2 linked regions of the Arabidopsis thaliana genome follow. The protein of the gene in region 1 interacts with the protein of each later gene in a pairwise test. Each region holds a gene or a part of one and is shown in the gene's direction. Other genes may lie near its edges.

Region 1 (4,789 bases):
TAGCTTTTTCATTATGAATATAGAAATTATACAAGTCTAGCCGGATTTGGGGGTTTTGACGACGATACGGTTTCCATCAACAAAAACTCTGACCCGGTCGCACCTGAAGTCTGCGGTCACCGGACTCCCATCCAAAATCACGGCAGCATTGACGGTGGGGTTCTCTCTCTCTATCACCACGGCCGCATAGTCACCATTTGTTCCCGTAAGCTCCGGCCACGAGTTCTTCCCTGCGATCACGTTACGTTAGATCGGTCAATCATTTACGTTTGGGATTTTGGAGATCAAGAAGCTCATATTTGAGTAAATGAAAACAAAAGAACTAGAAACATCACCATGGATTGACCATATGTAACATAATTAACCTTCTAACAGACTTTAGAAAATGTAATCATATATGTTATAGCTATTGAATTACAATTTTAAATGCCTTGAATCCATATCTAATTGAACATTAGCTAACTATTTACAAACATATAAAACTTTAATTATGAACTATACAATACAAATACAAAAACTTACTAGGACATTCGGTCGACATTTTTCTTCACTCTTGTATATATTTATGTAGTCTTCTGATGTATTTGTATGCTCACCTTTAGAGATTTGAGTCCCATTTATAGAATCGGATACGTACGTTACGTCTTGGTGTCGGTGTCGTCGGTGAGGTTGCAGATTCAAAAGTCAAACTTTGACGAAACCAGCTTTTAATAGCCCCTTCGTTGACATTATTAATTTGTTTGGTAAAAGCTTTGACACTTCTGATTTTGTTTTATAAAGCTTTGAAATGTACATATTTATATCACGATGTTCAAACCTTATCGAGAACAAGATAAGGTTTCTAAGGCTAAGATAATGTCGAAATTTGAAAAACAAACGAAGGTGAAAAATATTTCTAGCGTCGACTGAATTCTGTTTGCATGCAAAAAAACGCTTCTGCCAAATTTGGCACTTAGCCGACAAAAATGACCAAACTGTCCTTCATAAAATTCATGTATAAAAATACTATAATCAATTGTTGTCACACACACAAACAACGATAATGTCAATTATGTTGAATTGTTGACGTACATAAAATTTGACAAACAACATCACAACTTAGTCATATAGTTTTTTTTTTGTTCCCGTTTGATAATCTTGTCATATAGTTAATATTCAATTTGATATGTATATACAGTTTAAAACACGTATATACAGTTCAACTTAGTCATAGTTTTTCTTTTGGTCTGTTTAAGATTGGTAAAAGCACGTATCCGGAATAAAGATTTAGGTATTAATTGGTAACAACTCTATATGCGGGTTTCGAACAAAATTACAAAATCACATATTATATGAGACCAAGTCACCATCACACTTAAATATTTGTGGTTGAGAATTAATTAGTGTTTAGTTTTGTGTATGTTTCACACTGCCCAATGTTACAAACTTGTGTGTGTCAAGAAGACGAGGCCGCCTGAAAACAAAACATGTAAGCCCATTGAAACAGACACCAAAAGACATATGGTCTATAAGCCTCTCCTTGTGCTGGAGCTGGACACAAATTCTTTAAGACCGAGGTTTTCAAACGTAGGCCCAAATAAATAGAACCAAATCCAGTTAGAAGCCCAATAAAATGTTAATTACTTATCTTTGTATTTTAATTTTTGTTCTTTAAAGTTTAGGATTTTTTACATAAGTAAAAGAATTTGTTCTTTAGGCACTTTGAATCCACATTGTCGTTGGTATTGTTATTAGAGTATCTTAATTTTCTATGATTTATTTACGTAGATAATTCATTGAAAAATTAAATGAATTTATGTTTAAATTCTCATCTAATTATTATACAATAGATTGAAAAAGTCACCCTTAGTCAAATTGTTCATATAGTTTTCTTAAATTGTCTAATTAATTACCAAATTAATCCTTGTCTGAAAACTTTTACAAAAGCTAATACAGAACAAATACAAAAAAACGTGTAATCATATCATATAAACACCAGTCGCAGCGTTTCGTAGAAAAATTCGATTTCTCTAAAGCCCTAAAACTAAAACGACTATCCCCAATTCCAAGTTCTAGGGTTTCCATCTTCCCCAATCTGTACGCCATTTTCGATTTCCTTTTTTGTTGTTTACTTTAGCTTCATCGACCATGTTTAGGTTTCAAATTGAGTGTTTGTTCTGTTTCTGTAGAGTATAAATGGCGGATACGCCTTCGAGCCCAGCTGGAGATGGCGGAGAAAGCGGCGGTTCCGTTAGGGAGCAGGATCGATACCTTCCTATAGCTAATATCAGCAGGATCATGAAGAAAGCGTTGCCTCCTAATGGTAAGATTGGAAAAGATGCTAAGGATACAGTTCAGGAATGCGTCTCTGAGTTCATCAGCTTCATCACTAGCGAGTATGCATTCCCAATTTTTCTTCTTTCAATCGAATTTGTTGGAAAATATTTTGCTCTTTGGTGAAAAAAATTGATCATTTGTTGGAACTTTGGGTTTGTGAGAGATAGTTTTCTTAAACTAGCTATGGATTGAGTTTAGCTCAGAGAGTTTTTTGAAGTTTATAGAGCAAAGATTATGTTTTTTTTTTTGTCACAATGTTAATCAACCATTGTTTGGTATGGGTTTACCTTAACCTAGTTCCTTTCCTATAGACCATTTTGCAGATTATTTCACATGCTTCTACTGTGTTATATCTTAACTCTGTCAAATAAATTGTTAGATTTTTTTCTTCATTTAACCATCTTAGGGTATAAAAGCCGTATCTTGATCATGTTTCAAAGATTCTTTTATCTTTAGGATCTGTTTGTTTTTGTTCCTTTTTGTTCATTTAAGGCAAAAGATATGTTTTTCATCATGAAGGAATTGCTTGTGTTGAATGCGTTTTAGGTCTCTGATTGATGAGTTTTATGTTTCTTATAACATCAGATGCCCCCGTTCTTTGTTAGGAAGAAATAAGTTATCATGTATGAAACTATGATTTATCTATTGGTTCAAGATAAGCTTGTCTGATGTTGCGCTTAAGTCTCTTTTGCTGGTCTTATGTTGATTCGTTGACTGTAATGGCCAATTGACTGGTATCTGTTTCTGCTAATCAGGGCCAGTGATAAGTGTCAAAAAGAGAAAAGGAAAACTGTGAATGGTGATGATTTGTTGTGGGCAATGGCAACATTAGGATTTGAGGATTACCTGGAACCTCTAAAGATATACCTAGCGAGGTACAGGGAGGTATGTTGCTTTGACTCCCTAATCATGTGTTCTGAAATCCTTAATATCCTAGTCAAGAGATTAGTAGCTGTGAGTAACATCGAAGCTTGCCATGATAGCAGTTTTACAATCCCTTCAATACGTCTTGTGTAGAATTTTTGAAGCAAGAAAGATAAATCTAGACCAACAGTCAGGATGCATATTAGTAAATTTTGAAAGACATTTATTACTCTCTCTTTTGTGCTTTTGTTGTTAACATACATAATAAAATCAAAATGTTTCTTATTAAGTTGAGACTAATTCGGTTCTTTTCATTCCCTGGGATTGGTTGCTGACACACCACCTGCTGATGCAGTTGGAGGTAAATAAACCACATACTTATTTCTACTTTATATTCCATTCCAGTGTTGCCCATTGGCTTCTTACGTTTTGTTGTGAAATTATGATAGGGTGATAATAAGGGATCAGGAAAGAGTGGAGATGGATCAAATAGAGATGCTGGTGGCGGTGTTTCTGGTGAAGAAATGCCGGTATGATTTTGACAAGTATAGATGATACCAATGCTATACAGCCTATATTGTACTTAGCTCTGACTTCATCATTTTGATTCAATCACAGAGCTGGTAAAAGAAGTTGCAAGTAGTGATTAAGAACAATCGCCAAATGATCAAGTAATTCTTCTCTCTATCACACGGCCTCATGTACACAAATGAAGAGCATAGTCTATATGCATGTAGGTTCATATCCAATCTTCACTTCGTTACAACTGATGATAGTAGGACATGCCTTGTAAACTTGCTGATCATGTTATATTTTGCTGTGTGAATGAACTATGGCTAGTTTCAAAATTGTTTGTCTAACGTGAAATTCTCTAAAACGGTGCAGGGGAAATTAGAGATCAGTGAGTTGTTTATAGTTGAGCTGATCGACAACTATTTCGGGTTTACTCTCAATTTCGGTTATGTTAGTTTGAACGTTTGGTTTATTGTTTCCGGTTTAGTTGGTTGTATTTAAAGATTTCTCTGTTAGATGTTGAGAACACTTGAATGAAGGAAAAATTTGTCCACATCCTGTTGTTATTTTCGATTCACTTTCGGAATTTCATAGCTAATTTATTCTCATTTAATACAAAATCCTTAAATTAAATTTGTACAGTACCTTTGTTTTGGGTATAGACAATTACATTTTAAGTCAGTTGATCTGTATCAAATACTACACTTACAAAATCACAAAGTAAAGGCAGCAATTAATTTTGCTTTGAATTGAAAAGCTTTGAGAGAGTAATCAAATGCTTAAATCACGAAAACTTACAAATTTCAAAATTTTGTCTCTCCATAAATTCTCTTAATAAAGGCTGTTGTTTTTCCAATTTGAAAATTCTATTTTTCAAAATCAAGAACAGGCTATGGAATTTCAAGAAGCTGGTTCATCATCAAGTAGAATCATCTTCCTCTGTTTCCTCTCCTATCTAAAATCTCTTTAGTCTTCAGAAACTGATTATACTTTGTGCAGCAGCAAGAGTAAAGATTGACTTTGTGCAGCCGATGGCACACAAAGAGAGCAAATGGAACCATCGCAAAAGCTTGGCCTGGGACACTGCTTTTTCCAC
Region 2 (4,470 bases), on another chromosome or scaffold:
TTTCAAGAAAATGGAGAGGAGAGTTCAGGGGAGAGATAGTAGTAGTATGTCGAGATCAAACCGTTCTTTTGGAAGAGGGAAGTATAGTTTATCGGTTTTGAAAGAAGTGACTGAAGGGAAGAAGGAGGAACTTGCTTCTGTTAAAGTAGAGATCTTCAGGGTCATGACAGTAATGGATGCGTTGAGGAATGAGATTATCCGAGCCAGGGATGAAACAGCTTGCCTTGGAAAAATCTTGAGGGAAGATGATGTTAAGATTGAGAAACTCAACTCAAAGATTCTTATCGAAAAATCGAAGTTGGAAGTGGTATCTATCGCCGAAGAAAGGATTAGCTCTCTTGCTGAGAATTTCGTTGGTTCGCTTGAGAAGATAAAGAAAAGTAGAAATGCTGCAAAGAAAGAGGAGTTCCTTTTCAAAGAAGAGAAGACGGTTACAAAGGCGGAAACACAGAAAACCAAACTTGATATAGATAAAAAGGAAAGCGAACTGAATTCAAAGTTGGATGAGCTTGAAAAAGTGAAGCACACTGAGGCTTTAGTGCTTGAGAAGCTTGAATCTTTAGTAGAAGACATGATGGAGAGTCGCGAAATGGAGTCTGAGCATTGTTCAACAATCACTATCTCGAGGTTTGAGTACGAGTATTTGAGTAAACATGCTTCACAAGCGGAAGAAACCGCAGAGAAGAAAGTTGCAGCAGCAGCGGCGTGGGTGGAAGCACTCAAGGCTAGCACAAAATCGTTTCTGATGAAGACGGAAACTTTGATGAGAGAAAGTGAAATGACGAAAGCGGAAGAAGAGAGAGAAGTGTTTAGGATGGAAAGGTCATTGTCGACGAAGAGATTGGTGGAGGGTGAGATTCAGAAGATTAAGAGGAACTCGGAAGCTGAAGGCTATATTTCTCCCAAACCAGTTGGAAAATTCACACCGGTCCAACGTGGGAAGCCAAGAAGATACTCATCTGTTGGAACTCCAACTTTCTTTGTAATCAAGAAGAAAAAGAAAGTTCCACGCTTGGCCAAGTTCTTCAGTCGCAGAAGTTAAAAACTCAAATCATTTTGACTTCTGCGTTCAATAACAATTGCTAGAATCTCTAAGAAATCTAAATTCTATGAAATGATTCACATTCACATTCTTGTTCTTGTTCATTGTTGTGCATGATCATATAATACATGGAGTAGACTCATTCTAGCATACGATTGGTAACCATTGTTTTCATTGGCTTTCAACATTTATTTGTATGTTGCTGATCTTTATGAATACACTAGGCCAGTTAGAGGAAGAATTTTTCTCCTGGGTCTGTTCTGTCATGAACTTAGAGTTTCTGTATGTAATTTTGGTTATAGTTGTCTGAAAATGTTGATTTCTGGGTACCATGTAGTGCATATGTTTGGTACTGGTTTGACAATGTGTGAGCATAGTTATATGAATTATTTGTTCTATATCTTTTTTGGGTTCATGGTTTGTGGAATCTTAAAGAGCAACAAGATCTAGGGTGTTGGTCACTGTTCGCTATGGTCTGTTTCTGTGAAAGTTGGTGTCTAACTGATACCATAATCAAGAAATAGGATATATTTATTTTTACTAATGTAAATGTTTGTAAAATCGTTTGCTTGTTTTTATGCCATTACATTTCTATCATTTGTGGAAGTTAAGAGTTACCAAAATCAGAACTCAATAAACTTGATGTGGCTTTGATCTAATCCAGGTTTACTTGTGTGACAACTTCATTGATGAGACTGGATCACATTTAGATGAGTTGTGGCATATTGATATCTTTGGGTTCTTGAAATTACATTTAGACTATGTGCTCTTACTATATAGACTGAATTCGGTCATCAGGTTTCTTCTACGCAGCGCGTGGCTTTCACGGAAAAGGTCTGCGAGTGGTTCTTTCGTATGTATGCCTCACGAGCTCCACGAGGTATATCCTTACTAACGTGTGAGTATTAAATGTTTTCCTCTTTATTCCAGAAAAGTTTGTTCACAATCTTTAAAAGGAATCTCTTAGTCATTGGTACACTCTTAAATGACTATTATTACGTTATGATTCTAGCTCCATATATAGAGAACCCTTGTTCTTGCCAAACTCTACATCTTCAAAGATTTTTCATCATCTGTTGTGAAATATAACATGAGGAGGCCAAAGTCATCTCACGTCAGGATGGAACCTGTTGCGCCTCGTTCACATAACACGATGCCAATGCTTGATCAATTTCGATCTAATCATCCTGAAACAAGCAAGGTAAATTTAGTCAGTCCTAGTTCTGTGTTTTTGGCTTAAAGTCTTTTTATGTATGTTTCTTTAACATTTTGGTCTTAAACAGATCGAGGGGGTCTCTTCGTTGGACACAGCTCTGAAGGTGTTTTGGAATAATCAAAGGGAGCAGCTAGGAAACTTTGCAGGTGACTGATATTAAGAGATGTTTAGAGTACCTAAATAGGAAAAAAGAGTGCATTGACACCTAAATGCTAATTCTTCGACTTGTTTTGGTTACCTACAGGCCAAACTCATTTGCCGCTATCTAGGGTCAGAAAGATTTTGAAATCTGATCCTGAAGTCAAGGTATGTGAGGTTAACTTGAATTATGTTGGCTGGTCTAGAGTTTCTGAAATTGCCATTATGATCAAATTTGTTAGTCTGTTGAGTTTTACTGTTAGAATGTTTTAGTGTTGTTTATTTTTACTGTTCCTTTGACATCTTTCTAAGGTTGATATCAATACTTATAGACAAGATATATGTGACATCAAAGATTTGAAGAAATATGTTTGTTATTACAATTTTTTCCTAAGATATATGTGAATTTTCAGAAGATAAGCTGTGATGTTCCTGCTTTGTTTTCGAAAGCCTGTGAATACTTCATTCTAGAGGTAACATTACGAGCTTGGATGCATACTCAATCATGCACTCGTGAGACCATCCGGCGTTGTGATATCTTCCAGGCCGTAAAGAACTCAGGAACTTATGATTTCCTGATTGATCGTGTCCCTTTTGGACCGCACTGTGTCACCCATCAGGTTAGCTCCTTTTCGCAATCTTACTCGTGAAATCAAAAAAATTATGTTTTCATGTGCTAAATCTTTCTGTTCAGGGTGTGCAACCTCCTGCTGAAATGATTTTGCCGGATATGAATGTTCCAATCGATATGGACCAGATTGAGGAGGTGATTATTTTACTTAATAATTGGTATTATCTGAAACAAAGCATTTTAATGCGATGCTAAGTTAGAATTCATGTTCGTTTATTGCATTTGCACCAAAACCAGGAGAATATGATGGAAGAGCGCTCTGTCGGGTTTGACCTCAACTGTGATCTCCAGGTAGTTTTCTTTGAGCTTCTATTCATACAACAATTGCATTAGTGTATAGTTTCTGTTTTGCAAACATTTTAGATTGAGGATGCACTAGTAAACATATTGTTAGAGAACCCATTTAGAAAAGAACTTCATAGTAGCTTCAATTTGAGAGCAATCTTGCTAGCATCATTGTTAGGACTTAACAGATTTGTGCATAGAGACTAACTAGATAGGGGATAAATATATAAAGGTGTATCCAGAGAAATCCATGAGACATTTGGCATTTGCAGTATTTGATTCATTGAAGGATTTCAATTTGATATCTTGTTGTTTTTTGAGTAGTTAGTTGATACTTGTTGATGAATGCGATACCGAGTTAATTTACTTACGGACTGCGAATAGAAAATAAGAAACCATTTGGTTGTTTGTTCCTTAAGATTTATGTTCTTGCTATGGATTTGTACTTGTGGCTTCGGATCTGCAGTGAACATGAAGCTGCTCTGGAAGACAAAAACTTGAAGAAGAGAAGAAATCTGAAGAGGAATCACCCAACAACTCTATGTTATGTTCACCTTATAATAGTTTATCATAAACTCATTCACTAAACTATGTGTATTATTTATTGTTCCTGAATAAAAATACAATGTTTCGGTGTTTCCTCCTAAACCAAAAAAGAATAATACAATGTTTGATATTTTTACTTATGTAATTTATTTTTTTATTTATTTTATTTTGTTTTTTTTGTCATTTGCACGAAAAAGTTTTCTACACATTTTGATGAACACGTTTTAGGTGGATCTATTTTGGTTTCTCTCTTTAATAATGTCCATGGGTGGGGCACAACTCTGTACAACACCATAACTTTTCGTATCCTTAGTTTTGTATGGCCACTCTTTTGCCACTTCGGAATATTTGCCAAAACTAATGTTAACCAAAACTAATGCTTGTCAAATCATATTGTACCGAAAAATGTAAAGTATGGTGCCAAAGTAAGGTTTAACATCAAAGGACACCAAATGATGTCGAGGAAGGATGTAATTAACTAATGGTATGACATGTAAGCAAGAGATATATTTTTCTTCTATATTCTATGAAAATTGTTTACCAAAATATGTTTGTTTTTAAGTATGGACGGTGAAGTAAACGACACTCCGTCATATAAAATCAAAAGTTCAA

What was found.
Region 2: the proteins of NF-YB1 (region 1) and NF-YC12 interact in binary tests that used the Arabidopsis thaliana proteins (3 or more experiments, as listed by UniProt).

The regions. Positions count from the first base shown.
Region 1 is NC_003071.7:16,236,510-16,241,298, forward strand, and holds NF-YB1 (nuclear factor Y, subunit B1), read left to right. Parts: upstream 1-1,982; 5' UTR 1,983-2,076; intron 2,077-2,168; 5' UTR 2,169-2,175; coding exon 2,176-2,375; intron 2,376-3,071; coding exon 3,072-3,205; coding exon of another isoform or gene 3,206-3,333; exon of another isoform or gene 3,334-3,470; coding exon 3,471-3,541; intron 3,542-3,629; coding exon 3,630-3,710; coding exon of another isoform or gene 3,711-3,716; exon of another isoform or gene 3,717-3,798; coding exon 3,799-3,807; 3' UTR 3,808-3,851; exon of another isoform or gene 3,852-4,065; 3' UTR 4,066-4,272; downstream 4,273-4,789. Other genes in the region: AT2G38870 (Serine protease inhibitor, potato inhibitor I-type family protein), read right to left, coding at 37-230, 523-541; AT2G38890 (uncharacterized protein), read left to right, coding at 4,586-4,616, 4,696-4,789. UniProt on the Arabidopsis thaliana protein: Component of the NF-Y/HAP transcription factor complex. The NF-Y complex stimulates the transcription of various genes by recognizing and binding to a CCAAT motif in promoters.
Region 2 is NC_003076.8:15,219,688-15,224,157, reverse strand, and holds NF-YC12 (nuclear factor Y, subunit C12), read left to right. Parts: upstream 1-1,633; 5' UTR 1,634-1,940; intron 1,941-2,054; 5' UTR 2,055-2,132; coding exon 2,133-2,243; intron 2,244-2,325; coding exon 2,326-2,404; intron 2,405-2,502; coding exon 2,503-2,564; intron 2,565-2,809; coding exon 2,810-3,016; intron 3,017-3,090; coding exon 3,091-3,162; intron 3,163-3,264; coding exon 3,265-3,318; intron 3,319-3,778; coding exon 3,779-3,781; 3' UTR 3,782-3,950; downstream 3,951-4,470. UniProt on the Arabidopsis thaliana protein: Stimulates the transcription of various genes by recognizing and binding to a CCAAT motif in promoters.